4 linked regions of the Anolis sagrei genome follow. The protein of the gene in region 1 interacts with the protein of each later gene in a pairwise test. Links are inferred from orthologs where the notes say so. Each region holds a gene or a part of one and is shown on either strand. Other genes may lie near its edges.

Evidence for each region.
Region 2: the proteins of keratin, type I cytoskeletal 13-like (region 1) and PSMA1 interact in binary tests that used the Homo sapiens proteins (3 or more experiments, as listed by UniProt). The two-hybrid records come from large-scale screens. The link is inferred for Anolis sagrei from reciprocal best matches to the Homo sapiens genes KRT15 and PSMA1.
Region 3: the proteins of keratin, type I cytoskeletal 13-like (region 1) and CCDC185 interact in a two-hybrid assay, tested with the Homo sapiens proteins (2 studies listed by BioGRID and IntAct). The two-hybrid records come from large-scale screens. The link is inferred for Anolis sagrei from reciprocal best matches to the Homo sapiens genes KRT15 and CCDC185.
Region 4: the proteins of keratin, type I cytoskeletal 13-like (region 1) and LMO4 interact in binary tests that used the Homo sapiens proteins (3 or more experiments, as listed by UniProt). The two-hybrid records come from large-scale screens. The link is inferred for Anolis sagrei from reciprocal best matches to the Homo sapiens genes KRT15 and LMO4.

The regions. Positions count from the first base shown.
Region 1 is NC_090026.1:39,014,698-39,022,336, reverse strand, and holds the start of keratin, type I cytoskeletal 13-like, read right to left. Parts: upstream 3,004-7,639; 5' UTR 2,926-3,003; coding exon 2,365-2,925; intron 1-2,364.
Region 2 is NC_090021.1:250,232,296-250,239,630, reverse strand, and holds the start of PSMA1 (proteasome subunit alpha type-1), read right to left. Parts: upstream 3,013-7,335; 5' UTR 2,892-3,012; coding exon 2,889-2,891; intron 1-2,888. UniProt on the Homo sapiens protein: Component of the 20S core proteasome complex involved in the proteolytic degradation of most intracellular proteins. This complex plays numerous essential roles within the cell by associating with different regulatory particles.
Region 3 is NC_090021.1:87,015,063-87,022,568, forward strand, and holds CCDC185 (coiled-coil domain-containing protein 185), read left to right. Parts: upstream 1-4,928; 5' UTR 4,929-4,935; coding exon 4,936-6,885; 3' UTR 6,886-6,996; downstream 6,997-7,506.
Region 4 is NC_090024.1:153,051,161-153,058,529, forward strand, and holds the start of LMO4 (LIM domain transcription factor LMO4), read right to left. Parts: upstream 3,008-7,369; 5' UTR 2,387-3,007; intron 996-2,386; exon of another isoform or gene 973-995; intron 1-972. UniProt on the Homo sapiens protein: Transcription cofactor. Plays a role in establishing motor neuron identity, in concert with MNX1, acting, at least in part, to disrupt LDB1-LHX3 complexes thereby negatively modulating interneuron genes in motor neurons.

The sequences.
Region 1 (7,639 bases):
TGCTATCCTGAATAAAAGTTCAATGTGCCATATGAAATCAATCAGATCAATGTCCTGACATTTAGTGTATACTTTAAAGGCATTTAATGTATACTTTCATTCCTCTAGCAGCAGTACAGTGTAGACACATGTACTATTGCTCTTTTTGGAAGATGTGTTGCACCCTAAACTGTATCTACCCCGGATCCTACTTTTTAATCTGGAAATAAAAAAAATCTACTTTGTCGAGTTTTGAATCCAAGTTCAAACTTATGCAGAAGAGGGAAAACAAAATGACAAAAGGTCTGGAAGCCATGTCATTTGAGGAACAATTCAGGGAGCTTGGCATGATCTAGCCTTGAGAAGAGGCAGAATGGCCATTTTTCAGGAGTGATTTGATTGTGTATTCCTGTGCGGCAGGAGGACTAAATGGTCCATGTGGTCTCTTGCAATTCCATAATTTTATTTTTCAGAAATGTTCATGAATATAAATGAGAACATATGGACGAAAAATAGCAAGGAGCCCTCTTTTTATACCAAAGTGAGTTGTATGGATCTTAATGAAGTTTAAGATAAACAAAAACAAAGAACAGAACCCAAACTTCCTTGGACATAAGAGGGAATATTAAACCAAAGCATCAGTCAGCTATCAATATCTGTAAATAATGGTTTGACAAGTTTGAATCAGCATCTGAGAACCACTTAAAGGTGGTCTGCTGAACCAAATTAGTATAATCATGGGTTGGATCTTAGTTTATTACCAATAATAATGAAATTAGGTATAAAACACTACAATAATGCATTAGTTTATTGCTCATAAAGGGCTTAATGAGCAGTAAGGAGTTCGATGGTAGAGCACATGTTGCACAGACGTGAGTTTCTGGTTTCATCCCCTCTCCAGATAAACCACAGACCTGATGCCAATTGGAGCAGACTATATTGATCGAGAGGTGGTCTGGTTTGGTTTTGGACAGCTTCTCAAGAGATCAAAAAACTCACGACCCAATGACTGACTTGCATGTTTGAAAGATGGCAGATTTTTCTTTTTGCCTTACCCTCAACAACAAAGGAAATTCCTAGACACTGTTGTTTTTGATCACGTGAGTGATTATTCATCTACTATAGAACTATCAAGTTATGATGTAGAAATCATATCTGGAAATATTTCAAAATGCCTTTGATGTTGCAAAGTAGCATCGGAGTACCTCTGAACCTGTATATAATGCCTTTCCTTATTGTGGACTAACCACAACCAGCCCCGCCCAGTCTGGAACAGAAGCTAAACATTTCCTGGCTGGAGGCTTTATTCAAGGTAAAGTATAGGCTCATGCTTTCTGACATATCATCTAAGAAGATGGATAAATCATAGAATACAGAGATTCACAGAAATTACTTGCATGTACTTTTACAGGTTCTGCTCTTGTTAGTTTAGCTTTACCCCCAAAAGCAGAAATTAAGTACCTAAAGCTTTCAGAAGTATGAGAAGGTTTCTCTGCCAAGCATAACGACACTATATTTGCACAATTATCTAGGACTTTGAGGCAGGGGGAGATTCCTTTTGGACTGCCACCCTTTTATCCCCCCTTCAAATGCATTTTGATCTTCCACAAATGTGTTTCACAAAACCATGAAGAAGAGCTTCAAACATTTCCCATCCACTGGTTTTAAAAGCAGTTCATGCTTTGTTGTTGTATACTTTCAAGTTGTGTGACGCAGAGCAAGACTATTACGGGACTATTTTTACCAATTATTTTTTTCAGCTGAAGGTTGCCATTGCCTTCTTCTGAGGCTGAGAAAGTGTGACTTTCCCAAGTTGGGTTTCCATGGCCATGCAGGGATTTGAAGCTTGGATCCTAGACTTGTAGTCCAACAATCAAGCCACTACATCACACAGACTCGAATACCTGCAATGTACATCTTAAAAACTATTTACACAGCTGATAACTGCAGTTATCTCATCTTATTCAGTTGAACTTTTGGGAATCCAACATATTTTAGAGTTTTGTTGCAATCAAAGAAGCAGCATGCTTCTTTGGTTTCCCATTTGTTCATTTTTTCTGCATCACAAAATGAATAACCTTATTAGATTTGGTTGCATTTGTAACATTTCATGAAATTGGGTTGTGTTATTTCTTAGTACCATCAGGTTGCTTTTTCATTTCATTTTCTTTCTTTTTAACAGAAAGACAAAGGTTTCCTTTTTGCTTGGCTTGATTTTTAAGCAGAAATTGGAGTTATATTAGATCTGTTTATCCCCAGAGAAACATCACATTGTACAATATATCATGCTCTATTACATGGATCATTTAAAATCATGCTACAGATGTAAGTTGGAAGATGAAATCCCCCTCCATGCTTTACACATTTTCATCTGGATGGTCCTACCTTGTCACGGAGATCCTCAATAATCTTGTAATAATGGCTGTAGTCCTTAGCTGGACTACTAGGGGCCTGCTTCTGGTGCCAGTCTCGGATCTTGACCTCCAGGTCAGTGTTTGCTTCTTCCAGAGCCCGCACCTTATCCAGGTAATTGGCCAAGCGGTCATTGAGATTCTGCATTGTCACCTTCTCATTTCCAGTAAGGAGGACTCCATCTCCACCACCATAGTCAAAGCAACTACCAAAGCCACCACCATAGCCTCCACCAGCACCTCCACCAAAGCCACCACCATAGCCTCCACCAAAGCCTCCGCCAGCACCTCCACCATATCCTGAAGCCAAGCCAACACCTCCACCAGAGATGAATCCAGAACCATACCCGCCTCCTAAGCTTCCTCCATAACCACCTCCATGTCCTCCTCCAGAAGAGACATACCTAACAGAAGAGGAGGACATCCGGCCACCACCTCCACCATGGCTGCCGGAGGACACACGGCTGGAGCCACCCCCACCTCCAAAACCCATACCACCACCATAAGAAGCAGAGGAACTATAGTAGGTAGACATTCTGGGAACAATAGGTGAAGGTTCAGATGCAAGACTGTTACTTGGCTTGGCTGAGCATGCAAGAGCTAGGCTTTGAAACTTTGCCGGGCTCCATTTATAGTTGTCATTGTGGGGCGTGTTTATGCTAACAGAAAGCACACATATTGCCAAAACACACCCTCATGGGTGAGGCAAGCTGAAAACATGTGCTTGCATGGAAAAAAGTAACAGCTCATCCAAAAGAGGGGCTGTGCTTTCTATACATATTTTTCTTTAAATTCAATGAAACAAAAGATGTTCAAAATTGTCTCAATTGGCATCCGAGATTGGATTACTCCATTCGCAATCTCTCTTTCTGTATCCATATCTTTTTTTCTCTTTCAAACATTTGATACAAAGTGAAGGAAATACATACTGAAACTTCATTAATAGAGAAGCCATGCCAATGGAAACTATTGCATGCAGAATGAAATTATTTTAGCAAAAATTCCCCTAATTTCCCAGATGTCCATACTACCTTCTCTGTCTTTTAGCAACCAATTTGTGGCTCATTTGCTGTGACATTTCTCTCTCAACAACCTCTCTCCCCCCTCCAATTTCCATCTGGATTTTGAAAATGCACATACTTATTTATAAATAAAAAGTGGGGGTGTTTGGTAACATCTCTTTTAGACTATTGCATTTATTTGATTTACTGCATATTTCTATCTTACTTTGGGGGCAACAAGCCAAAGGTAGCATGCAGGGCTCTCCTCTTCTATGTTTTATCCCCATTACAGACCTGTGAAGTGGGTGAAGTTGACAAACAGTGACCTGTCCAAAGAAATTCAGTGAATTCTGTTGTTCAGTGGGAACTAGAATATAGAATTCATAAGCCTCAGATGAATACCTCACATTGATTCTTCTGTTAGTGACTGAAAACTGCAAGAATTCATTGTGTTCTATGCAGTTTATTTCATTTTAATTTAGGCATTTGTAAGAGATTTTCCAGGTAGAATGGGTCCTTCATCTGTTTTGTATTTCTTCTTCAAGATATACGCTGTACTTCTAAGTTCTGCAAAAGCTATGTGAAATTTCGAAGTGAAAACCATTATGATGAAAATGGACCTCATACTAGTGGAAAGTAGATTTATTTTTGAGAGCACTATGAGACACTGGATGCACCCAACATTTCTTCTAGTGTTAGAGCTCTCTTTTAACTCACTCTCTTTTCGTGCCTCTCTCCTACTCTATACCAATTCTTTCATTCACCGAGCGATTGCACAAAGGAGCTTATGTGCATTGGAGACTTGGTAATCTGTCAATCAAGGTGAAGATGATGGATACTAAAGTGATAGAAGAGCACTTGCCTGCTTTCATTTCTTCCCATTGCTGCCATGATCCAGTTTCACAGACACTCCTACCACACCCAAGTTGGGAACTAGGGTGCAGACAGGCTGGACTGGCACTAATGTCAAGTAAAGGTTTGGTTTGCTTCACCTGGAAGGTCAAGCGCTCTCCTCCCTGTCAATCCATTTTACGTCAATCCACTCTAGATTTTAGTCAGAACTTTCAATACACAATCCAAGATGCTAAACTTATTTTAAAAATATGGTCAACATTTTGGAGAAGGGCTAGGCTCCTCTAACACAGAGTATGTATATAGCTGGTGTCCCAAAGCACAAAAAAGGACCAAAGTTTCTTGGCCTGATGCACTTTGGTCCCAATGCATGTTGATCTCAATGCACACTGGTCCTATTATAAATTGGTCCTGATACACATTGGTCACTTATTGATGTCCCTGTATAATAACATAATGGCTGAATGCTGACATTACAGAATCTTACAAAGTCAGATGTTCCCACACAAAATCTTAGACAACATCTTTCAAACCTGGACTAAAACTCAAGAGTATCCATTGTTCCAGTGTCATGAGGGCTGCCCATCATGACTGCTGCTCCCAGTGCTAGATTTAGGACAAATGAGGCCCTGGGCTAGTTAAGTTATGAGGCCCTTACTTGGGCCCCAAAGGAGGTAAGTCCAGTAGGCCTACATTGCCTTCTTTATGTCACACTCCAATATATTATCAACTCTATCATTATGTCTGGAATTGCTCTGAAACAGAATACCTTCAAATGTAGAATTTCACTACATAAGTAAAATCCATAGTAAAAAAAAATTGTGGGGGGGGGGGGGGGAGGAACATGGGTCTCACTGGTCAACAAGCACACCAAAGCATAATGGTAAATCAAGCAGTGGCTGCTCCCTTTCATAAACACAAATATGTTCAATGTGCTACTGCATCCCCCTCCTTCCTCCAAGATGAGAATTGCACTTGTACAGTATAGAGAAGACAAACAAATGCCTGTAGCACAAAAATTCCCTGATGCAAAATTGGTACAGAAAGATAAGAACCACACGTCCACAGAACCATACAAATTAGTGCTGTGATCATAGAAAAACCTTTGTTTTTGCTGGGTTCTTTTTGTACAACCTATAACCATACACTTGAATGCTTATAGAAGTGCCAATTCTGCACCACATGTTTTTCCAGGTAGAAAGTCACTCTTTATTTGCATCCAAGGCTAAATTAACCTATACAAGCATATCTTGGCTAATGTAGAAGATGTGTTCCTGGACTTTAGTTGTTTAACTGAAATGTTGGAACCAGAGGAAGAAATAACATGGAAAGAATGGGGATGGGTTCCTATACAACTAAAAATCGGTTCAACATATTTCAGCAAATCTTTTATCCAAAACTAATATTATGCACATAAGAAATGAAACAACCAAATTAGGTGCGCCTTGCATAAGTAAACAAAAAACATTTTGAATCTCCTAGACACCACTTGAAAGTTCTTCCAAATCATTCAGAAATGATTTTCTTTCCCTTTCAAGCAGGCCTGTAGCCAGGATTTTGATTCGGGGGAGGGGGGGGGCTGAGTCTGAGTGAGAGGGTCTACCCTAGCAAACCTTTTGTATCATTACTCCATGGTGATCAAATCATGATATGAATAAACATAACAGTTTAAATAATGTACCAGTAAGGCCTTCTCGCAGACCACCATGAGAATTTGGGGGGGGGGGGGCTGAAGTCGCCCCCCCCCCCAGCTACATGCCTGCTTTCAAGAGTCTCTTTTCTTCTAATGATTTCCATTCTGTGGTGAAACATATAGTTCTATCATTTTTCTACATGTCAGTCTGCCTTGCCCTTTTTTTTCTGTTTTGCTTTGAATGCTGCTCAGAAAGCGATTATGGAGACAGCTGCTGTTTAAACTGGCTGCTGTATCTAAGCACACACAGCTAGAGCAGGATCACCTACAATAAAATCCAATTTTTTCCTATGTTAAATTTATTACATCGTTTATAGTAGACATAGTACTATTATCCAATACTCAAATTTTGTCCAGAAAATTTCTCCAGCTGATCTTGATCATCCTCTCAAAACTTCAGGTAAAACGGAAAACAAGAGAGAGAGGCTGGGGGAGGGGAGGCAAGGCACCCACCAAAAGACTTTATAAAAAGTAGCTTTACAGAAGCTGTGTTAACTGAAGCATATACAGTGTTCTCTCACTTATCACGGGAGTTACATTCTAGGACCACCCACAATAAGTGAAAATCCGTGAAGTAGGGATGCCATATTAATTTTAATATTTATACATTATATATTTTATATATTATTTTGTTACCCGCACTTCCTTACCCACCTCCTGGTCCATCCCAAGGGTGCCTGCCTCCCTCCCTGGCCTCCACAGACCCCGGCAGAGCCTCCGGAGCCTGGTCTGTGGAGGCCAGGAAGGCAGGCCTTCCCCACCGCACCTCAGATGCTGCACTTCCAGAGTCCCTGACCACCACTGGATGTAAATATTATATATTTTTAATTAATATTTTCAAAAAAACCCAAAACAGCGAGTCCGCTAAAAGCGAATCACGAAGTAGTGAGGGAATACTGCATGTCCTCTTTGATGCAGGTTAGAAGTGATGCATCCATATCAGGACTCATGCATGAAAATGGGTCTCCACTGTCACTTCAATTAAGGACAGAAAGTGAAAAAAAAAATGTGGGGTCTCCCCAAGGAACCAAAGGTTGTGTAACTGAGTAAAGAGTTTTGCTACCTTTTGCATTAATTTTTAAATGGGCTGATAAAGTTTCTGAAAGAAAAGGTGGGACTTTGTTGTTCTGGGAGTCAAAACCTCTATGCAGACTCTCCTATTGGATCGACACCTTCAGAATTTCAGTTGGCAACATCAGTCTTTCAGCATCGAAGAGAAAGGTGTATCTCTTCCTCTGAAAGAGCAAGAGGCTGTATGTATTTCTGGTTGGAAAGCATGGAAAGAAACATGTCTCAAGCACAGCATGGCTTTCAGCCAGGGAGTTAGAGCAGACATGCCAAGGACATGATTGATAGTCATTAACAACTTGCCACATCTGTATATCGTGGAGGATTTGTTACTTCAAACAGCAAGTTTAGACAAACCCTTGCTAATTATGAATTTTTTTCCCAACAGGCCTGTTCAATGAACTGATTGTTATCCAACCCTTGGAAAAAATATTGCTAATTTGTTTTGCCCATTTTACTGTGGATCAAATTAAGGGAAAGGAGATTACTTCTTGGGGAGGCTAATTTGATGACATCTGAATAGAATATATTTGAAGGAGAGATTACCAAATAGAATTAATGCAATTTGACATCCCTTTAACTGTCATGGCTCAATGCTAAGGATTCATGGGAGTTGTAGTTTTATGAAGTACCAG
Region 2 (7,335 bases), on another chromosome or scaffold:
TCGCAAACATGCAATTTGTAATTGTGTAAGTTTCCTAGAAGATGTGCTGTATAAACCAAGAGTGGAGATCAAAGGAAACCATTTAAAAATGCAAGAACAATGGATAATCTTGAGAGGACATTTCATAAATAATTCGTGATCAGAAACACAATCCTCAACATAGGAATCAAAAAAGGTCCATTACTTTTTCAAATTAAGAAGGTTTCGCTTTCATTTTCAACAGGAGTGAGTTGCCTACTGGAAATATCAGATATTGAGCAACACCTAACATGAGACCTTCAAAAAGAAAGCTTATCAATATGAAGAACATTAACCTTCTTGTTCTAACTATGTTGGTTGAAAATTATATTATTGCTAATACTTGTTAGGAAAAATTCTAATTCTCTTCTAAATAACAAGTCACTATGAAATGCTCCTGCTCTTGTTTTAGATTACAGCAATTTGGTGTCTGGGATGTTCTTTGAGAGGCCAGAAATTATGTGAGATATCACTCTCCAACGCTGTTCAGAAACAATTACATTTTGTGGTAGCACTACAAGGTGTCTGAAAATGACTAATCCATCTATAGATATTTGAAACTCTGGAAGAAACCGTATTATTTGGAGAACACTGGATACAATGTAGAACAAACTGCTGAATCATGTGGTAACAAAGAAGGACGTGGGCCTTTTACAAATAATGGAGGATCATTGAATGAGATGGGGAAATTGAGGTGATGGGAAAAACCAGTGTATGACAAGAACAAACAGCAAAAAACCAGTTTCAACCCAGTAACAAATCGGAGTAAGTAATGAACTCTTGCGTTGTTCTGAAAATAAACAAAACCGGGCAGGGATTACTTTGATTAACTGAATGTTAGGGTCTCTTTCTTATTTGGCACACATCTGTGTCCTGACTAGTGTTGCCATGGGTTATATATTATAAGGAATGTCCTTTATTTGATAACCATAAATCCTCTCCCTTATAGGACAGGCTGATGTCCATTATTATAGGATGCTGCATATTGGGTGTTGTAAAGTTTTTTCCTTAGACTGTATGAGATGCCAAAAAATTCTGTATTTGGGGGTGTTGGCTCCACACACAGAGAAGTGAACCCATTATGTAATTTATGACTGCTGCCAATTTACTGATTTTACAGATAAAGATAAGGCTCTGATTACTGAAATCAATACATCTTGTTGGCATTTCAGCAGCATGCTAGCTTGTTAACAGCTACTTCTTGATTGCCAACCCTACATATCAACCATCTCTTATTGATACAGGTTGCGTATCCCTTATCTAATGTGCTTGGGACCATCAGAATTTTGGATTTTGGCATGTCTGTATTTGCATATACACACATAATGACATACCTATGTCCATCCAAGACATTCATTTTATTTTTCATACAAACCTTTTATACACATTGGCTGAAAATAATTTTATAAACAGTGTTTTGTAAAAATGTATTATTGAAGGCTTTCATGGCCAGAATCATTGGGTTGCTGTGTTTTCCGGGCTGTATGGACATGTTCCAGAAGCATTCTCTCCTGACATTTTGCCCACATCTATGGCAGGCATCCTCAGGGGTTGTGAGGTTTGTTGGAAACTAAGTAAGTGAAGTTTATATATCTGTGAAGTGTCCAGGATGGGAGAAAGAACTATTTTCTGCTGTGTCTGCAAGGCCATACAATGCTAATCAAGTTGGCCAATTGTAACATTCACACTTGCTTCAAGCAGACAAGAGTTCTTTCTTCCACCCTGACATTCCACAGATATGTAAACTCTACTTACCTAGTTTCCAACAGACCTCATGATCTCTGAGGATGCCTGCTATAGATGTGGGCAAAATGTCAGGAGAGAATGCTTCTGGAACTTGGCCATACTAGCTGGAAAACTTACAGAAACCCAATGTTTTGCATTTTTGGTGTGTGTACATGAAGCAAAGTTTGGGCAGACTGAACTATCAGAAAGCAAAGGTGTCACTATCTCAATCACCGAGGTGGAAAATTTTAGATTTTAGCAGATTTGGGATTCCCAAATAAGACACACTCAACCTGTATTCAGAAAATCAGACAATGCTATTTCCAACAGATATTGGAAATAAAATACTGAGTAACAGGGGAACTCAGAATGAGTATCCCAAAGGGACTAGAGAAGGGGGACCTTGAAAGCTCTAGAACAGTGGTTCTCAAGCTGTGGGCCCCCGGGTGTTTTGCCCTTTTACTCCTATAAATCCTAACAGCTGGTAAACTGACTGGGATTTCTGGGAGTTGTAGGCCAAAACACCTGCGGACCCACAAACTGAGAACTGCTACCCTAGAAAAGCTTTGAGAGGCAGGGGTTGAATTCACTGGGTGACCATTGCAAGCCACTCTTTCAGCCCCAGAAACTCCCATAACAGGGTTGCCTTAGAGTGCACAGTAAAATCAATTTAGTTTGACACCAGCTGAATTGCCAGGGTTCAACGCTATGGCATCTTGAAAGTTGTAGTTTGATGAGGCACCAGCACTATTTGGCAGAGAAGGCTAAATCTCTTTTTGAAACTACAATTCCCAGGATCCCACAGCACCCACCCACCCAGCCATGGCAGTGAAAGTGGCGCCGAACTGCATTCATTCTCCTTGAGACCAGCATGAGTTGGAAATGACTCCAAAGCAGGCACAGAACACCTCCATGCCCCTTTCCCGGGAAAGTCAGTCAGGGTCCCTGAAAAGGAGTTCGGAGGGGAGCCATTGGGGCGCCTCTCCCCGGGCCGCGAGGCGCCCGCCATCCCCGGGCTGTGCTGACTCACTCCGACCGGGCCTTAAAGCGGGGAAGGCGGCCTCCCCGCACTCCTGCAAACCGGACTCGTTTCCGCCTCGCAGCTACAACCCCCGACCGAACGCCCCCTCCGTCTCTCCTCTCACCATGGCGACGGGACCCGGGCGAGCAGCAAACCGGCCAGGAGGTCTTTCCAGAAATGGGATGAAGAACTCGGCAAGCGCTCGATTTGGGCTTGGGCACTTCCTTCCGGCCCGGCCCAGGAAGAACAGTCGATCTCCTAATCTCAGATGAGAGCGCGCCTCTCGCGGACGACAACTCTCCCTCTTCAGCAATCAGCGGCGGCTCAGCAGCGACCCAGTGCGCATGCGCCACTTGGAGCGCTCCTTTCTGAATGTCTAGGAGGCCAGGCCGATAGACCAGGGGTCCTCAAACTTTTTAAACAGAGGGCCAGGTCACAGTCCCTCAAATTGTTGGAGGGCCAGAGTATAATTTGAAAAAAGCATGAATGAATTCTTATGCACACTGCACATATCTTATGTGAAGTGCAAAAAACATTTAAAAACAATACAATAATTAAAATGAAGAACAATCTTAACAAATATAAACTTATTAGTATTTCAATAGGAAGTGTGGGCCTGCTATTGGCTGATGAGATAAGATTGTTATTGTTGTTGTGTGCTTTTCAAGTCATTTCAGACTTAGGTTGACCCTGAGCGAGGGCCAGGTAAATGACCTTGGAGGGCCGTATCCAGCCCTCGGGCCTTAGTTTGAGGACCCCTGCAATAGACCTTTGCTCCCCTCTTCCTCACAGGAGGCGTGCTAGAGTGCAGCGCCTCAAACGGCGCATGCGCATGTTTTTTTTCGTGTCTGGAGTGACTTGAGAAACTGCAAGTCGCTTCTTGTGTGAGAGAATTGGCCGTCTGCAAGGACGTTGTCCAGGGGACGCCCGGATGCACACTAAATCGCGGCTGGTGATGGAAGTATGATAGCTGGGTGCAGAAGCTCCGAGTGTTACGCACATTCCTCAACGGGGGTTGTGAATAAGGGAAGGGGAGAGCGGCACATTGAGGGCAGGAATATACTTCGTAGTTGCATTTGGTGGAAGGATAGAAAGGAGGGGAGGGTTAGGATAAGGTTTAAGGTAATATGCAGATGATACCACTTTGATGGTCGAAAGCGAGGAGAAGCTGAGGAGTCAAGGTGAAAGAAGAAAGTGCAAAAGCTGGGTTGCAGCTAAACATCTAAAAAACAGAGATTATGGCAACCAGACTGATTGATAACTGGCAAATAGAGGGGAAAAACTTGGAGGCAGTGACAGACTTTGTATTTCTAGATGAAAAGATTACTGCAGACGCAGACTGCAGCCAGGAAATCAGGAGACACTTCTTGGGAAGAGAGCAATGACCAATCTCAATAAAATAGTGAAGAGTAGAGACATCACACTGGTAACAAAGATCTGCATAGTAAAAGCAATGGTATTCCCCGTAGTCACCTACAGATGTGAGAGCTGGACCATAGGGAAGGCTGAGTGAAGGAAGATAGATGCTTTCGAAAAAAAATAGTAAAAGCAATGGTATTCCCCGTAGTCACCTACGGATGTGAGAGCTGGACCATAGGGAAGGCTGAGTGAAGGAAGATAGATGCTTTCGAACTGTGGTGTTGGAGGAAAGTTCTGAGAGTTCCTTGGACCGCAAGAAGATCCAACCAGCCCATACTTCAGGAAATAAAGCCCGACTGCTCACTGGAGGGAAGGATATTGGAGGCCAAGATGGAGTATTTTGGCCACATCATGAGGAGACAGGAAAGCTTGGAGAAGACAATTATGCTGGGGAAAATGGAAGGAAAAAGGAAGAGGGACCGACCAAGGGCAAGATGGATGGATGGTATCCTTGAAGTGACTGGACTGACCTTGAAGGAGCTGGGGGTGGTGACGGCCAACAGGGAGCTCTGGCGTGGGCAGGTCCATGAGGTCACGAAGAGTCGGAAAAGACTGAACGAATGAACAACAACAACAAAGGGTTAGAATTAGGGTTAGGATAAGTGTTAGGATTACGGTTTGGGTTAGGGGTTAGGGTTTTACCATTAAAGAACTCTTACATGCCTTCTATAATATCTGTGTTCCGTTCTGCGTTGTGCAAACAGCGCTCCCAAAGGAGCAATGCTCAGAGCTTCTGGACCCAGCTATCATCCTATTATCTAGCTGGTTAATAGCAGGGAAGCATGGGCAGGTGTCAAAATATCCCAGAATAAATTTATCAGTGAGATCATCTTCTATGGGCCCTTCCAGACAGACCATATATCCCAGGAACTGAGTTCAGGTTTTCTGCTTTAAACTGGAATATATGGGTCAGTGATAGTATGATAGCTGGGTCCGGAAGCTCCGAGCGTTACGGAAATGCCGCAAAGGCGGCTTTGAATAAGGGGGGAGAGCGAAGGAAGGATAGAAAACGGGATGCTCAGGGTAAGGGTTAGGGCAAAGTTTAGGGTTAGGGCGAGGTTTAGAGTTTGGGTTAGTGTAAGGGTAAGGATAATGGTTAGAGTAGGGTTTGGGTTAGGGTAAGGGTTTGGGTAAGGGGTTAGGCTTAGGTTTACAGTGAGGGTTAGAATTTCATCATTAAAGAACTCTTACATTCCTTCTGTATTATCTGTCTCCAGCCTGGCTTACATTAGCTAAGTCTCTCTTGTGCAAACAGCGCTCCTGAAGGAGCTATGCGGCATCTCTGTAATGCTCAGAGCTTCCGGACCCAACTATCATACTATTACCTATGGGTCTACACTGCCAGATACCCTGGGATAAACAGAAAACCTGGGATCAGATCCTGGGATATAGGGCCTGTCTGGAAGGGCCCTATGTATGGACTGTTCCACTTCCAAGGCAGTGAGGGGAAGACTGTACTTACAAGAGCCTTGTATTTAATTATGGCACATTGTGGTGTCAATCAGATGAAATGAATTGACCACTGAACTTAGGAAGGCTCTCAGTGAAGGATGTAAGTGAAGATTTATATATTTTTCTAAAATTTTCTTGACTCCTAAACAATTATCCTTGCTGATTTTAAATAAATATTTATTTTATCAACACTAAAGGTAAAGGTAAAGGTTTTCCCTGACATTAAGTCTAGCTGTGTCCGACTCTGGGGGTTGGTGCTCATCTCCATTTCTAAGCCGAAGAGCTGCTGTTGTCTGTAGACACCTCCGAGGTCATGTGGCCAGCATGACTGCATGGGGTAGCATTACCTTCCAGCAGAAGCGTTACCTATTGATCTCACATTTGCGTGTTTTTTAACTGCTAGGTCAGCAGAAGCTGGGGCTAACAGCAGGAGCTCACCCCGCTCCCTGGATAACGAACCGCCAACCTTCCACTCAGCAAGTTCAGTTGCTCAGCAGTTTAACCTGCTGCCTCACCAGGGGGCATAGAGAAGATTATAGAGACCTTTTAAAACACCCACCCCCATGAACCCATACCATTGAGGCATGGGAAGTTTAAGTGTTGTGTAGAACATGTTAGTTCTACAGTGCAGATGTCCCCTAGGGCTGGTATCACTCAGTGCAATAACCCATAATGCCACCCCACGGGCCTTCCTTGACCAGACCAGAATATTTCAGCTAAAATATCAGAAAACATCACAAAAAGTGTAAAAAGTAGCCACAATTAAAACAAAAGTACATGCAGACAAAACCATTTGATTCAAGGCATGATGGCAATTGGGTAACAATGACAGCTTTGACCAGATCAGTTTTATCCCTGTAAGACATGTAACCTTACAAAAATGTTTCTGTATGATTTAAAAGTATTTAAAAATAATACATTTCTGCTGTAATTTTATAGACAATTGTTTTGGTGTCACCTCACTGTACCCTGTAGTGACATCACAGACTTATAACATGACCGTATTTCTGTGCAATCTCCCTTTCTTATCTCCTCTCTGTATGATGATATGCAACAGCGACAATGTCTTAACCTGTGCTCATTGCAAGGAAGAACCGTAAATGAACATAATAGAGTGGACTATGGACACTGTAAAATTGTCAAAAACATAGTAAAAGGGAAACTACCTGCATGCTGTATGAAGTGATTTATTGACAAGAATTTGCATTTCAGTTCTGTGTTTGTGATGTTGACAATCCCATTATCTTTGTTGATCATTACAAAATTTCTCTTCATTACCTTTTCCCTTTTTCTCTTCATCTCCTTTGCACAATTTATCTTTATTTACAGTAAACGTCTTGTGCTGGGGGCCTTGGTTTTTTGGGTTTTTTACTACTTGCAAGTTTCCCCTTGTTCTTTGAAAAACAGACTCATATATATATGAGAGATATTTATGTCTGGACATTTTTTATCCCAATTCAGGACTCAAGGCAGCTTACAAGTGTTAAGCATGACTAAAAATTCAGAGTTTACAAAACCTAAGCATGTAATTAAGCTATTAATAAAAGTAAAACCAGTTAAAAACACAAACCATTAAAAGGAGAAAAGCAAATAGAAAATACAGCACATTATGCAAAATCAGAATAATAGAATAATAGATTTTATTTCCTTACTTTCCTTCCTTCTTCCTTTACCTACCCTATCTAATTACTGTATTACTT
Region 3 (7,506 bases), on another chromosome or scaffold:
TAGAAATGGAGATGAACACCAACCCCCAAAGTCAGACATAACTGGACTTAATGTCAGGGGACAACTTTTACCTTTACCTTACAGACATAATGATAGAGTTGATAGCGGGGTTGCCAGGCGCTGAAGGTGAAAATAAAGTACTCTGGAAAGGAAAGGCCTCATCCCCGCCCCCTTTCACCCAAGGTCCTCTATGGCCTAGACACCTCTTGTGGCAAAGACATCCAGATAGTACCTGCACCCAGCCTCCGGAGAAGGTCTAGAAGGGGGAGTGGGGAGAGGTCAGATGGGCTACAGAAGATAGAGAGACCCCTCGCCACCCAGAGTGGAGCCCATGTCACCTGGGTGCCCAGAAGGATGCCACCATTGGAGGGAGGGGAAGAGGCTGGCCAGGCTTGGACTCACTCCCTACCGGAAGGAAGCGCATGCTAGGCTCACTGCATACTCAGATCTGGTGCATGCAATCAGTGGAAATAATTATAATGATGAATGTTAAACTTCCATTCTATGTCTAACTTTTGTTTATTTTAATATGTATTTTATGGAAATATGTTTTAATATGTGTATTTTATGGAGTGTTTTTTAAATTATTTTGTGTTTTGATTAGGTGTTGTAATAATGTTGTAACCCACCTCAAGCCCTGAGAAAAGGCGGGTAAAAAATAAAATTATTATTATTATTATTATTATTATTATTTGATGTCCTGGACCAGGGTGCAATGGGACGTGGGACATTTTATCTAAATAAGGGACTGTCCCTTATAATCCAGGACACCTGGCAATGCTGGTTGATACTCTATCAATGGGAGTGTCTGCTGGACCTACCTCCTTCGGGGTGCCACAAAGGGGCCTCATAACTACTAATACAGGCCCTCATTTGTCCTAAATCCAGCACTGCTCATTTGAGTCGTCATTTTATAAAAAAGATACAATTTTATTATTATCCAATTGTATATAATGGAAATGGAGCAACCACAGGAGTCCTGGAACCAAGCACCAGCAGATACCAAGGAACCACTGTACTTCCATTTATCCTGTTTGTTGTAACTTTTTATAACTGTTTGTACTATTGAGAGGAGGAAACACATTAGAGGGATGAAACTGAAGTTCACAGTTCAATCTTTTAACCTTCTTGTTGTACAGTTAATTCAACTAACAGAATATATACTACAATATTCTTTATATATGCATCACCGCATGAAATAATCCATATGCTAGTGACTGGGCTAAGTGTTTGATTGTACATTACAGGGGCTAGTAATTACATCTTGTATGTGGCATTAGAAAAATCAGATTACATATGATTATCCATCCAGATTTACCAGCATTCGGCTGTAGATTCTCTGTTCCAGTGCCAAAGCACTGCACAGAAACATCCAGGGAAGAGGCAAAGGTTTCACTGACGTGATTAGTCTTCCTAGCAGGCTGAGTTCTTCCTCTGAGAAATGGAGCACTGACACTATTAACCAAGCTGGACTCCAAATGCTTTTAAAGGATTTTTAAAAGTCCAAATCTCTTGATCCTCAGATGCTGTAAAAGCTAAGGAATTAAATACTTGTGAAATGGCTGTGTGACTATGTGAGAGCTAGTCCTAGACATTTTGCTGCCTGATGTAGAGCAGAAATTGGCACTCCTACCTGCCAAATGAAACTGTATAGTACCCTAAACCAGCCATTATTTTGGTGCCTGAGGCAGAAATTCGCAATCAACTCTTTCCATCTCCTGGGCGATAAAACTATAATAACAAGAAATTAAACAGCTAACAATTCAGTGCCCTTTCATGACACCAAAACCTGCTACCAAAGATGCCTGAAGCAAGAGTGAATCACAAAATGTATATTCTCCCCCCACCCCACCCCACCCCCATCCCAATGCAGTGGTCTTTAAACCACAAGTAGATCTTTACAGCCTAGGGAAAATACTGATGGTATTACCATTTAAAATATATATTATTTCTCTTTTGAGAAAGAGAGAGAGATTTAGGAGTGAAAGAGGAAAAGAGTGACTAGATACAAATGAACATTTTTTAAAAGTTTAGTATTGTACCAAGAACCTTTCCCCCAGTATTGTATGAATTTTGAAGCCTTGGGCCTCCAAGTATGCATTCTGAACATATGCAGGAGGATTTACATGCATTTACATATGTACACACAGAGAGGCACTGGTTAAAATCTTGGCAGTTTGAAACTGCCAGCCGCAGCAAGAGAGTTCCAAAAAGGACTACACTAAGGGGCACTGCGACACTACACAAGTATAGTATTTACATATATACACACAGAAGTCTTAACAGGATCACATAAACCTTAAGGTTCTACTTTTACTGCCATGGTTCCATGGAATATTGGGATTTGCAGTTCATTGTGTGCCTTAAAATTATTTTCAACTTCATGTGGCCCTAAGGCAGACTATTGGAAGAGCAATAAATCACAGAGTTTCCTTGGTAAGATTTGTTAAGGAAAAAGTTGCCTTCATCTGAGACTGCATGACTTACCCAAGGCCATCATCTAACAGAGTTCACGGCCAAGTGGGGAGTTGAACCCTGCTCTCCAGAGTGCTCTCCAGAGTCTACTTCAATGCTCAAATCACTACACCAGTCTGGAGTTTCCTCCTGTTTGGTAAAGTCCAGCTTTACTTCCCCATTTCTCAATTTGTTGGTGTTAAAAGTTATTTTGCAAGGGAAACATTTTGAATGCCACAAACTGCTGGTCTGTGAAGCAAAGCACAGACCAATGCTACATAGTTGCCTCAGCATTCCAAGACTCAGGAATAGTTCAATGAGATTCCTCCTGTAGTAGACCAGATGCCAGATTAATGTAGTTTCTGGTTGCTTGAGAGTTACTATTACAAATGGGCTTAACTAGCACTATACACTAAGCCTGGGTAACAACGAAAAAAATTGTTTCTAAAATCGATTTGTATTTGGGGGGTTTTTTTGTTTCGATATTTAAAATAATTACAAAATTTTCCTTTTAAAAAGTTCGATATTTACGAAATTTCGTAAATGGTAAAAAAATTAACGAATCGATTTCCGAAACAATAACGAATCGATTTGTTAATGGCAGACGCGACCGCGAAATACGCTAAAAAACCTCCAAAACCTTCTGAAGCTTCCCTCTCCCTCTGTTGTTGACTGTTGGTGTGATTTTATAATTTTTTTTCACTAATTAAACCATAAAACTGGCCCAGTCATGCGGAAATAATAACGAAACGACCTCAAAACAATAACGAAATGAATACAATATCGAAATACGAAGCATTTACAAAACGTTTTTGAAAATTCTTTTTTTTAATAATTGCTCCAGAATGGTTCGTTATCGTTTTGTAATTGAAAAAATTAACGAATTATTAACGAATTACGAATTAACGAAACGAAACCGCCCAGCCCTACTATACACCATGCTATACCATACCACAAACTTTTTACAAACTTTATTACTATGTTATTATTTTATTTGATGTTAGTTTTGTTTATATGTACTTTTGCTCTATTGTAATTTGTATGGGCATGGCCTCATGTTAGCCGCCCCAAATCTCTTTGGAGAGATGGTGGCAGGGTATAAATAGTTTATTGTTGTTGTTATTATTATTATTCTATTTTTTGCTGGTTGTGTGAGAGTTCCTGTTAACTAAGAGTCTACTGTAGTTTGTTACAGGAGTCTTTAATATTTATTGACTGTTATAGCAGTGTTTTGCATTTTTTTAAAAAAAGTCCAACTTCCCTCTTTCTCAAATTGCTGCTAACCTTCTAAGGGAAAAAGTGGGGAATGGCACAGGCTGCTGGCCTGTGAAAGCAAAACACAGGTTGTGTGGCATTTTGCTAAACATCCCCAACTGAGCAAGACCCAGGAATGCTCCCAGAGCTGGGAAAAGACCCATCCAATCCAACTCCATTGTGCCATGCAATCCTGCACGACTTTGGCATGGGCAAACTTTGGTCCTCCAGGTGTTTTGGACTTCAACTCCCAAAATTCCTAATAGCTGGCTGACTATGGGGCCTTCCACACAACCTTATATTTCAGAATATCAAGGCAGAAAATTCCACAATATCTGCTTTGAACTTATTTGAGTCCAGCTAGTCCTAGACATTTTACGGTATGATGTAGAGTTGCAATTGTCACTCCCACCTCCCAAATGAAACTGTATAATACCCAAAGGGCCCTTCCGCATAGCCCTATATCCCAGGATATCAAGGTAGGAAATCCCACATTATCTGAGTATGGACTCAGATAACCCAGTTCAAAGCAGATATTGTGGGATTTTCTGCCTTGATATTCTGGGATACAGGGATATGTAGAAAGACCCTCTGAGAGAGCTAACCCTAAACATTTTGCAGCCTGGTGTAGAGCAACAATTTACACTTCCAGCTCCCAAATGAAACTTCATAGTACCCTAAACCTGCCATTATTGTAGTGCCTGAGACAGAAATTCCCACCATCATCTCATTCCATGGGCGATAAAAACTATAACAATAAATTAAGCAGGTAACAATCCAGTGCCCTTTCATGACATCAAAACCCTGCTACCAAAGATGCCTGAAGCAAGAGGGAGCCACAAAATGTGTGTGTATTGTGGCTTTCATGGCCAGAATCATTGGGTTGGTGTAAGTTTTCCGGGCTGTATGTATATTCTTTTCCCTACCCCATCCTAATGCAGCTGTTAGGAACTGTGGGAGTTGAAGTGAAGTTTGCCCACGCCTGCTTGAGGATCTCCTCTATTTGACTCTTTCGAGTTCACGTTGGGACTGAAGGGGAGAGCTGGTCACGTGGGAGGAAGGGGTGAGGAAGTCCCTCTCTGACCAGCCCAGCCCCGCCCGGCTCGGGCTGGAGGGCGGGGCGCGCGGTCTCCTTGGCGACGCTTGTGACGCGCGCGCGCTGCCTATGTGGCGCCGGGGCGCGCGTGGCGGGGGGCGGGGCCGGGGGGGCGCGAGGGCACTCGGGCCATGCGGCGGCAGCAGCAGCGACGGCGCCGCGCGCGTGGCGGGTGGGCGGCGTGCGTGGGCGGCGAGGAGGAGGCGGGCAACCAGACCAGCAGCCGCCGCGCCGCGGGCAAGAAGAAGCCGCCCGCCCCGTCGTGCTGCAGCCTGTCCGGCGCGGAAAGCCCGCGGGAGATGGCGAGGCGCAAGAGCCCCGGGCGCTTCTCGCCGGCGTGCGGCTTCCTGGAGGCCTACAGCTCGGAGCCCGAGGTGGCGGGCGGCGAGGGCCGGAGGGGCCGCCTGGCCGGTCGGCCGGGAAAGAGCCGCGCCTGCTCCTCCTCGCTCCGCCGGCCCAAGCCCGCCTCGGCGCGCCGCCTCTCGGCCTGGCAGCCCGGGGGAGAGGGCTGCGCCACGCCCGGCACGGCCACCTCTTGCACCACCCTCTACGGCGGGGACTGGCCCGCCGGCCCGCGCGCCGAGGAGCCCTGGGCCAGCCCCGTGCCCCGCCCGCTCGACTACGCCGCCGCCGACTTCCCCACCGACGCCAGCAAGCCGGCCTCGCGCTGCCCCTCCTCCTACTCCTCCCTGGGCCCGCCCCCGAAGCCCGAGGCCAAAGAGCTCAGCCGACGGGACTGGCGGGAGCTCTGCGGGAGCAGCCCCAGCCTCGTGGACCTCATGCACTCCTTGCGGAAGTACGAGGAGGAAGAGGAGGAGGAAGCTGCTGCTGCTGCTGCAGCCTATGACCCCATCGGTGCCACCCCACACCTCCGCCACCCCCAGAAGCAGCCCAGGAAAGCCCACGACCACCAGATCCACCTCCATGACTTGGTGGACAAGCGCTACGAGGACCTGCTCCCCGAAAGGGACAAGAAGATCGCTGCCCTGATGCTGGCCCGGCACCAGGAGGAGGAGGAGATGAAGGACAGGCAGCTGCGGGTTTCCGACGCCTGGGAGAACCTGAGGCGGAAGGAGAAGAAGCACAAGGCCCGGCTGGACAAGGAGCGCCGGTACCATGTGGCCGACAGCCTGGAGCAGTGGCAGCGGGACCGCGACCAGAGGCTCTCCAAGCTCCGGCTGGAGGAACAGCAGCTCTTAGCCTCCAGGGAGAGGGACATGATGCTCCGCGACAAGAAGTGGAAGAAGCTGGCCAAAGAACAGGAGTCTCGGCGCAGAGAGAAATGCGAAAGTGCCCGGCTTCAAGCCGAGTACCGGAAACGTTGCCAGGAGAAGCAACTCTGGGAGAAAAAGCTAAGCGAGAGGAGTGCTCGGGAGCAGAGCTCTCATGCCTACAAGGAGAAGATGCTGCAGGCCCTGGAGAAGAGGCTGATGAAGGAAATGGAAAGGAAGAGGCGGAAAACAGATATGAATGAATACAGGCGGGCCCAGCACATGCACAAGGACCAAATGGATGACCGGCTGAAAGCGGATGAGCTCTACAAGAGGCTCTGTATCGAGCAGAAGCTCCAGCGGTCTCAGGAGATCCTGGAGCAGCTGCTGGAAGAGAGGAACAGGGAACTGAAGGAAAGGTCTTTCAAAGAGGAGGAGCAAGGCATGATCGCCAAGGTGCGAGCCAAAGAGACGGAGGAGGAGAAGAGACGGCGGAAGGAGATGTTGCTGCAGATTGCCGAGATGAAGATCCAGCAGGCCAGAGAGATCATGTCCAAAAATATTGATGACCGAGCACAGCATGTAAAAGAAATGAACTGCCTGAAGGAAAGGAACCACCATTGCCGCAAACAGAAGCTCGATTACGATGAAAAATGTCACCTACGGGAGTTGCAAGAAGCACTACGACGGAAGGATCAGAAAAGCAATCAGATCCTAAGGCACAAAGACACGGCTATTGAAGAATCGAGGAAAATTGCCAAAGCATCGTATGACCTTAGGGAAAAAGTGAGAGATCTGATCAACCATAATTCATTCGATCAGATGGCATTAGATGCCCATCGCAATGCAAGCGTCCTTAGAGGTCTCTAGTGAAGTGTAACGAAACATCCCAGAATGTCTTGTGCCCCTCAAAACATGGTTGTAATGTGTTCATTTTGTAGAATTATGCACTGCTGTACACTAAAGTGGTTTCAGCCTTAATTCATGTTTGACTCATAAGTCTTTGGTTGGATTGTGATTTAAAGAAGCTGTATACCACATCTCACTTAGCTTTATATATTGTATCTCATATATTACTTGGATTTGAACGTAAGTCACTACAGCTTTATACAATTAATTGTAGCCATGACATAATGGGTGATACCTTTTAATTTAATATTTCTGTAACAATCCTTTTAAGTGTGTTTTTACAATGGCAACCTGAAGTTCTTCATAAATTCTTGATTTCACATATATTTAATGACATTAGCATTTCATATCCAAGTATGCATCCATCACTCATAATCAAGAACATAGTGAAAGTTGCTCAATATTTTTATATTTCAATAAATATTTCTATAGTTCAATAAATATTTTTATACCCAAAGAAGCAAGTCTCCAGTGCACATAGCTAGCCCACTTATTTCTGTGAATCATATCATGGTGTCCATTTGGGGTGGCAAAGTGCCCCCTCAGATAATCTTGGGCTGAAATTCCTAAAATTTAAACACA
Region 4 (7,369 bases), on another chromosome or scaffold:
TCTTCATAAAAGCAGGGCACTGGGGAGATTAATAATGGAAACAATTCATAAAGCTTGCTTGAAACTGATTAATGCACCCGGAGGAGTCCAACAGACTTGGGTTTCTTCATTCCTTTATACCAGGCATGGGCAAACTTCAGCCCTCCGGGTGTTTTGGACTACAACTCCCACAATTCCTGGCCTCAGGCCCTTTCCTTTTCCCCCTCAGCCGCTTAAGCGGCTGAGGGAGAAAAGGAAGGGGCCTGAGGCCAGGAATTGTGGGAGTTGTAGTCCAAAACTCCTGGAAAGCCAAAGTTTGCCCATGCCTGCATTCAGATATCAAAAATATCAAGTTATTTACTGTCAATTTAGCAGTGTTTCTCCTTTCATTAAAGGTCCCTGCTCACTTTAAGGCATTCAGCTATAACAACACATAGGAGGAAACAGAATAGCAAACTTTTTCAACTTAGTTACAACAGCAGTTTCCTTAAAATAGGCCTTTTTTAAGAGAGAGAGAGCGAGAGAAGCAGGTTTTCCTTCCAAATAACTCCTGATCATATGGTTCAGTTGACCACACAATAAACCAGCCTGCGAACTGCACCAATTAAGACTGTAACTAAAAACCCCGAGACTTGGGGGAAAGAGAACCACTCTAAAAGCCATTAGCATTGCATTTCTCTGAATGCATCATATACCTTTATGTAAATTGATTTCTGATGCATTTAAACTCACGAAATGGCCTTTTGTTACCATTTCCAGCAATACGAACCTGGCCTTTTTTTCTGACTTTCTGATTAGAAACAAATCCTATTTCCACACCTCCTGTAAAGAACCCCAAAAGTGTCCCCCTCAAATGCAAACCCACTTGTGCCTTGTCCACCAGGGTCTATGTGGGAAAAGAAAAAGTAAATATTGTACCTAAAGGGGAAACGTTACCCTGACAGAAGCACCCAGTAACCCCATTAAGCCAAAGCTCTTAAGGACAAGCAATACCTTAATGCTGATTAGATCTAAAAGAGATGAATCAAGAGGACTGACCAGAAAGTGACTCCTTCCCTCGCTCACGAAGGAAGGATGGGGGCCCTGATCAAGTTTCAGGCAGAGTTGGGGAGGTGGCAGGAAAGAAGGAAGAGAAAAAATACACACACACAGGGAGAGAAAGAGAGAGACAGAGAGGAGGAAAAGCTTTTAACTGAACTAGCCTCGCTCTGGTAATTACACAGCCATTTCGGGTCCTGGAAACAGAGGCAATGAAACAAAAAGGAGAGGCGAAACACACACAGAGGGAGAAAAAGAGAGGGGGAGGAAGGGAGGGAGAAAGAGAGGGAAAGAAGGAAGGGAGAGAGAGGGGGAGAAAGAGAAGAAGAAAGAGAGGGGGAGAGAAAGACTGGGGAGGAGAAAGAAGGGAGAGCGAGAGAGAAGAAAGAGCAAGATAGGAAGAGAAAGGAGAGGGGAGAAAGAGGGAGAGAGAAGAAAAAGAAGGGAGAGTGAGAGAGAATAAAGAGCTGGAGAGGGAAAGGAGAGGGGGGGAGAAAGAAGTGAGAGAGTTTAGAAAGGGGGAGAGAGAGAGAGAGAAGAGAAAGAAGGGAGGGAGAGGGGAGAAAGAGAAGAAGAGGGGGAGAGAAAGAAGAGAGAGACCGGAGAGGAGAAAGCAAGGGAGAGAGAGAAGGAGAGGAGAAAAAGAGGGAGAGAGAAGAGAAAGAAGGGAGAGTGATAGAGAATAAAGAGCGGGAGAGGGAAAGGAGAAAGGGAGGGAGAGAAAGAAGAGAGAGGGTAGAAAGGGGGGAGAGAGGGAGAGAGAAGAGAAAGAAAAAGAAGGGAGAGAAAGGAGAAAGAGGGAGAGAAGGGAGAGAGAGAGAAGAGAGGGGGAGAGGAAGAGAAAAAAGAGGAAGAGAAAGAAGAGAGGAAGGGGGGAGAGAGAGGAGAAAGAGGGGAAAGAGAAGGAGAGAGGGGGAGAAAAAAGAGGGAGGGGGAGAGGAGAAAGAGAGAGAAAGAAGAGAAATAGAGGGAGAGAAAGGAGAGAAATAGAGGGAGGGGAGAAATAGAGAAGGAGAGAGCCCTTTGACAGAGACTATTCATAGAGACACAGCTTGCAACTCCAAAAATTGAAAATAATAATAATGGGATGCTTTAATTCACGGCTTGTTTTGAAATCAGCTCGATCCGGGGGGAGAGAGAGAGAGGGAGGGAGGAAAGAAAATGCCTCCTCCTCCTCCTCCTCACTTGAGATTTCTTTCTCTTGCCACTGTTTCCCAAGGAGTGTTTAGCTGCGAAGAAAGAAGTGCAAAGGAGGGGGGGGGGAGTTGACGGGCTTGTTTGGCTTCCAAATGCGGGGAGACGAAGGGAGGAAGGAAGGAGGGCAAGGGCAAGGGAAAGGAAGGGCAAGGGCCCGCCGAAGCCGCCGTACCTGTTTCCCCTCTATGGTGCAAGAGGCCGAGGATAACGTGGTGGAGGAAAGGCGGGGAGGCTCTTCGTGGCCAGAAAGCGGAGAGGCGGGAAAAGGGGGAGGTTGTTGACGGAGCAAGGCAGCGAGCGAGCCCGCACGGCGCGGGCGAGAGGGGGAGAAGCAGCGCCCCTTCTCTCGCGTCTCTCGCCTCCGGAGTCAGCAAGCAAGCGAGTGAGTCCGTCCTTCCTTCCTGCTTCCTTCCCTCCTTCCTTCCCTTCCTCGGCGGCTAAGTTTTGGCCCGCTGCTGCTGCTGCTGCTCCTCCTCCGAGCCCGGGTCCTCCCTCTTCCTCTTCCTCTTCCAAAATGGGCTCCTCGGTGTTTAAAAGTCCCGAAAGCGGCGGGTTGGTTCAGCGGGCGGGAAGCGGAACAGCTCCGGCTCCCAGGCTGGGTCGGCGCTCCTTCCTGCTCTCGAAGTGGAGGGAAGAGGAGGAGTTGTGGCCGCGGTGGCGTCGCTGTGGTCGGCGGGACGCGCGCAGGGAGGCCCCGCTCTGGCTCTGGCTCTGGCTCTGCTTGCTCGGCTTCTGCTGCTCCTCTCCCTCCTCCGCCTCTGCGCTCTTCTGGCCCATGTGTTACTGACAGAGCAAAATCCCAACAAGTCCGCAGCTCGGCCCCCCGCGTCACAGCGCCTCGCCCAATCCCCGCGCCGCTTGTTCAGGCGGAATAATAAAACCGCCCAATCGCGAGCAGGGCGAAGGAACCAGGGGGCGGGGAAAAGGCCGAAGCAGGAGGGGGGAGGAGGAGGAATCGAATAGAGAGAAGGGTGCTTCTCTCTACTCTTAACGCGCTTCCACACCGCTTTAACTACTCTGCCTCATTCCTCTGTTTTTTTTAGAGCCTTCTCTAAAGCCAGTGGGATTTTGGCCTGCATCAATAGGAGTCTAGTATCTGCATCTAGGGAAGTCATGCTACCCCTCTATTCTGCCTTGGTTAGACCACATCTGGAATACTGTGTCCAATTCTGGCCACCAAAATTGAAGGGAGATGTTGAGAAGCTGAAATGTGTTCAGATGAGGGCAACTAAAATGACCAAGGGTCTCGAGAACAAGCCCTACGAGGAGCGGCTGAAAGAGCTGGGTATGTTTAGCCTGAAAACGAGAAGGCTGAGAGGAGACATGATAGCCATGTATAAATGCGTGAGAGGAAGTCATAGGGAGGAGGGAGCAAGCTTGTTTTCTGCTTCCCTGGAGACTAGGACGCACAACAATGGCTTCAGACTACAAGAGAGGAGATTCCATCTGAATATTAGGAAGAACTTCCTGACTGTGGAACTCTCTGCCCCGGAGTGTGGTGGAGGCTCCTTCTTTGGAAGCTTTGAAACAGAGGCTGGATGGCCATCTGTTGGGGGTGCTTTGAATGCAATTTTCCTGCTTCTTGGCCGAGGGTTTGACTGGATGGCCCATGAGGTCTCTTCCAACTCTATGATTCTCCTCCCCAGGAGCATCAACAAACTATAACTCCCAGAAATGGATAGCATTGAGCCTTGGCAGTTAAAGCAGGGCCAAACTGCATGAATTCCACTGTGCAGATCAAAGAGTTGGAAGAGACCTCATGGGCCATCCAGTCCAAGAAGCACTTCTGACAAAGCACCATCCAGCCTCTGTTTAAAAGCCTCCAAAGAAGGAGCTTCTACCACACTCTGGGGCAGAGAGTTCCACTTCTGAACAGCCCTCACAGTCAGGAAGCTCTTCCTAATGTTCAGATGGAATCTCCTTTCTTGTAGTTTCTTGTCCTTTCTTGTAGATGTCCCAAAGGCCCTTCCACACAGCCCTATCAAAAAATTTGGCTTGCGGAAGCAAGAATTCGTAATACAGCTTCAGTGGAGACACCTTTTCCAATGATAACTCTTTCAGGAATGAATTTCCCATCCTAGAGGTAGATTTCTTTCACTTATTTATTATTTATTTAAAACATTAATACCCCGTCCTTCTCAACCTCCGAAGAAGGACTCAGGATGGCTTCCAACAGGCAACAATATAGAGCATACCATAAAATATAACCATTTCTTGTTGTCTCATCCTTGTTCTTAACTATGAGCCGTTTGTAAGTCGGATACTTGTAACTCAGGGACTGCCTGTACTGACTAGGGTTGATGGGACAAGCTTCTATCACTGTTTATAGGGATGCTTCCTCTGCAATAAAATCCCATTTTATTTAGTTGTCATTTCTGTGGCGTAATGTAAAATAAACCACGTGTAGTTCACATTTGATCAGCTCACACACTGCCTTGCCAGAGAAAGAAAATAAGCCACGCAGATGAACAGCGAAAAAAAAAGTAGTTTACTCTTTGTCAATCAGAACAACATATTTACAATGTGTTCAGTTGCATCAACTCACATAATGTCCTTTTATGAGAGATTTAAAATGGTCTTTGTCCATGTGGAGAAATTCCTACAGCAGCTCATTAAGCAAGAGTACACTCTAAGCTATCTCTCTGGGTGCTTTACTCTTCTCTCTCTGCTGGACACCTGCATAGCTCTGCTGAACAAAAATGTAACGGTAACCAAAAGTCCCAGGCTCAGCTCAGGCATTGCCTGACCAATCAGATTCATGCATCTTATTTTGCAATTGACACACACACACTCAATGATTCCTTGAAGGCTCCAACAATTTCTACATAAATATATGCTTCCTAAGCTCAGAGGGAAGAATGCTCTTCTCTTATCAAACAGAACTCCAGCCATGTACATTGAGCATCCCTTATTTGGGATTCCAACATCCAGAAATATTAAAAAGTCATCCACTTGGGTGGCGGAGGTAGGGATGCCTTTGCTTTCTGATGGGTCACTATACTCACACGTAGTTTCATGCACTAAATTATTTGAAATACTGTGTATAAAATTGCCTTCAGACCTTAAAAGATATATATGAGACATAAATGAACACCATGTTTAGACTCCGGTCTCACCTCCAATTGTGAACGGATGTGCAAAGAGAAGTATTTCAAAAATCGGGGGCGGAGGGAAGTGGGAACTAAACCTCTGATCCCAGGCTTTTCAGACCAGGGATAGCTTTATCTGGAGTCTGTGTTTCATATGCTTTTCGAGGTGTGCAGCACCTGTCTGCAAAAGTGCCCTGTGTATTAGCTAGGCCAGAGCCACCCAGTGGACTACACAACAGATGACAGGAGGTTTGAAATGGCATTATATGATCAGTGTTGACTCATCTAACGCAGTTTAACAGTGTTATATGAGTCTACACCAGGCATGGGCAAACTTCAGCCCTCCAGGTGTTTTGGACTTCAACTCTCACAATGTTAGGAATTGTGGGAGTTGAAGTCCAAAACATCTGGAGGGTCGAAGTTTGCCCATGCCTGGTTTACACTGATCATGTAATACCATTTGCAAATAGCAATGCAGATGGGGCCCAAGAGGTCCTCCTTTGTACCTCCTTGTACTTTATCACACCAAGAAAGGTGCTTTCAGACACAACAGGTTTTGTAGTCTGCTCCAACAAGCGTAGGACTTTCCTAGTCAATATTTTTCATAGAATCATAGAGTTGGAAGAAACCACATGGGCCATCCAGCCCAAGCCCTTGCCCTGCAGAAAAAGCACAATCAAGCACTCCAAATAGATGGCCACCCAACTTCTGTTTAAAAGCGTTCAAAGAAAGACCCTCCGTCACACACAGAGGCAGAGAGTTCCACAATTGAACAGCTCTCACGGTCTGAAAGTTTTTCCTAATGTTCAGGTAGAATCTCCTTTCTTGTTCTTTGAACCTATTGCTCCAATCCTATTATCTAGGGCAGCAGATATATATATATTTCCTACAGATATACAACAAATCAGTACAGCATGGTTTTTCATATTAGTGCAAAAACTTGGAGCATCCCAACTTAGAAATGATGAGTAGTTTGTAAGCCACTTTTTGAAAATAATATATCTAAAGTACATGAATTACTGTAATTTCTATCCCACCTTTCTTCCAATATGGAACTCAAGGTGGCTTTCAGTATATTTACAAACGGAGTATAGATAAAACAATGTATGGTGCAAAATTTCAAAATAATATGTTTTAAAAGGCACTACTTTAAAACATGACTCATGAATATGGAAGAACAACACATGCCATTAAGAGATCTTTCTACAACAGCAAATTTGCAGCCAGAGGCCTAAACAAAAAGGTCTTTGCCTGCAGGTGGAAGAAGAACCAAACAAGATTCTTGTAGGAGGGAATGCCTAGGAGAAGCCATAAAGAAGATCTTCTTTGAGTAAATCTACACTAGAAATAATCAAGTTTGACACCACTGTAACTGCTATGGTTCAATGCTGTGAAATCATGGGAGTTGTCGTGTTTAGCCATCTCTGTGCTGGTACCTCACAAAATTACAGTACTCAGGGTTCCATAGAATTGAGCCATGGCAGTTAAAGTGGTGTCAAATGGCATTAATTGTGCAGTGTAGATTCACTTTTAGTCCTTGTCACAGGGTGGGACCAAGAGAAAGCCCTCCCCGCTTATCTTAAAATTTGAGCAGGCTGATACAGCATTTCCATGCCAGACAATAATATAATCTAACATTTTAAAAATAAATCGAATATTTTAATGTAAATTTTAATACATTAAACGTAAACATAATGCTAGATAATAAGAAAAATATTCATGTTAATAAATAACATAAACAGGTTAATTGGTTAAGCAGGGTGAACATAACTTTGGATCTCCCTCTCCAAGTCTCATTGTACGTATACAGACTACTGGACTAATATCCTTTATGTTTATAATACAAGCGATCATTTAGCCTTCAAGTCTGCTGAGAAAAATTACCAAATCACTCATTTACAGGCACTTTTCTCAGTCATTTCTGGCCCCAAAGAATCGGCTTTCCTGTCTGGTTGTCTAGACAGATTGCTTACCTGTCCAAGGTGAACAGATAAGTATTTGCAAGCCTTCTTTGATCATGGAGGAACTCGGACTTTTGAATCCAAAGATTCATGTATGTAAAAAAA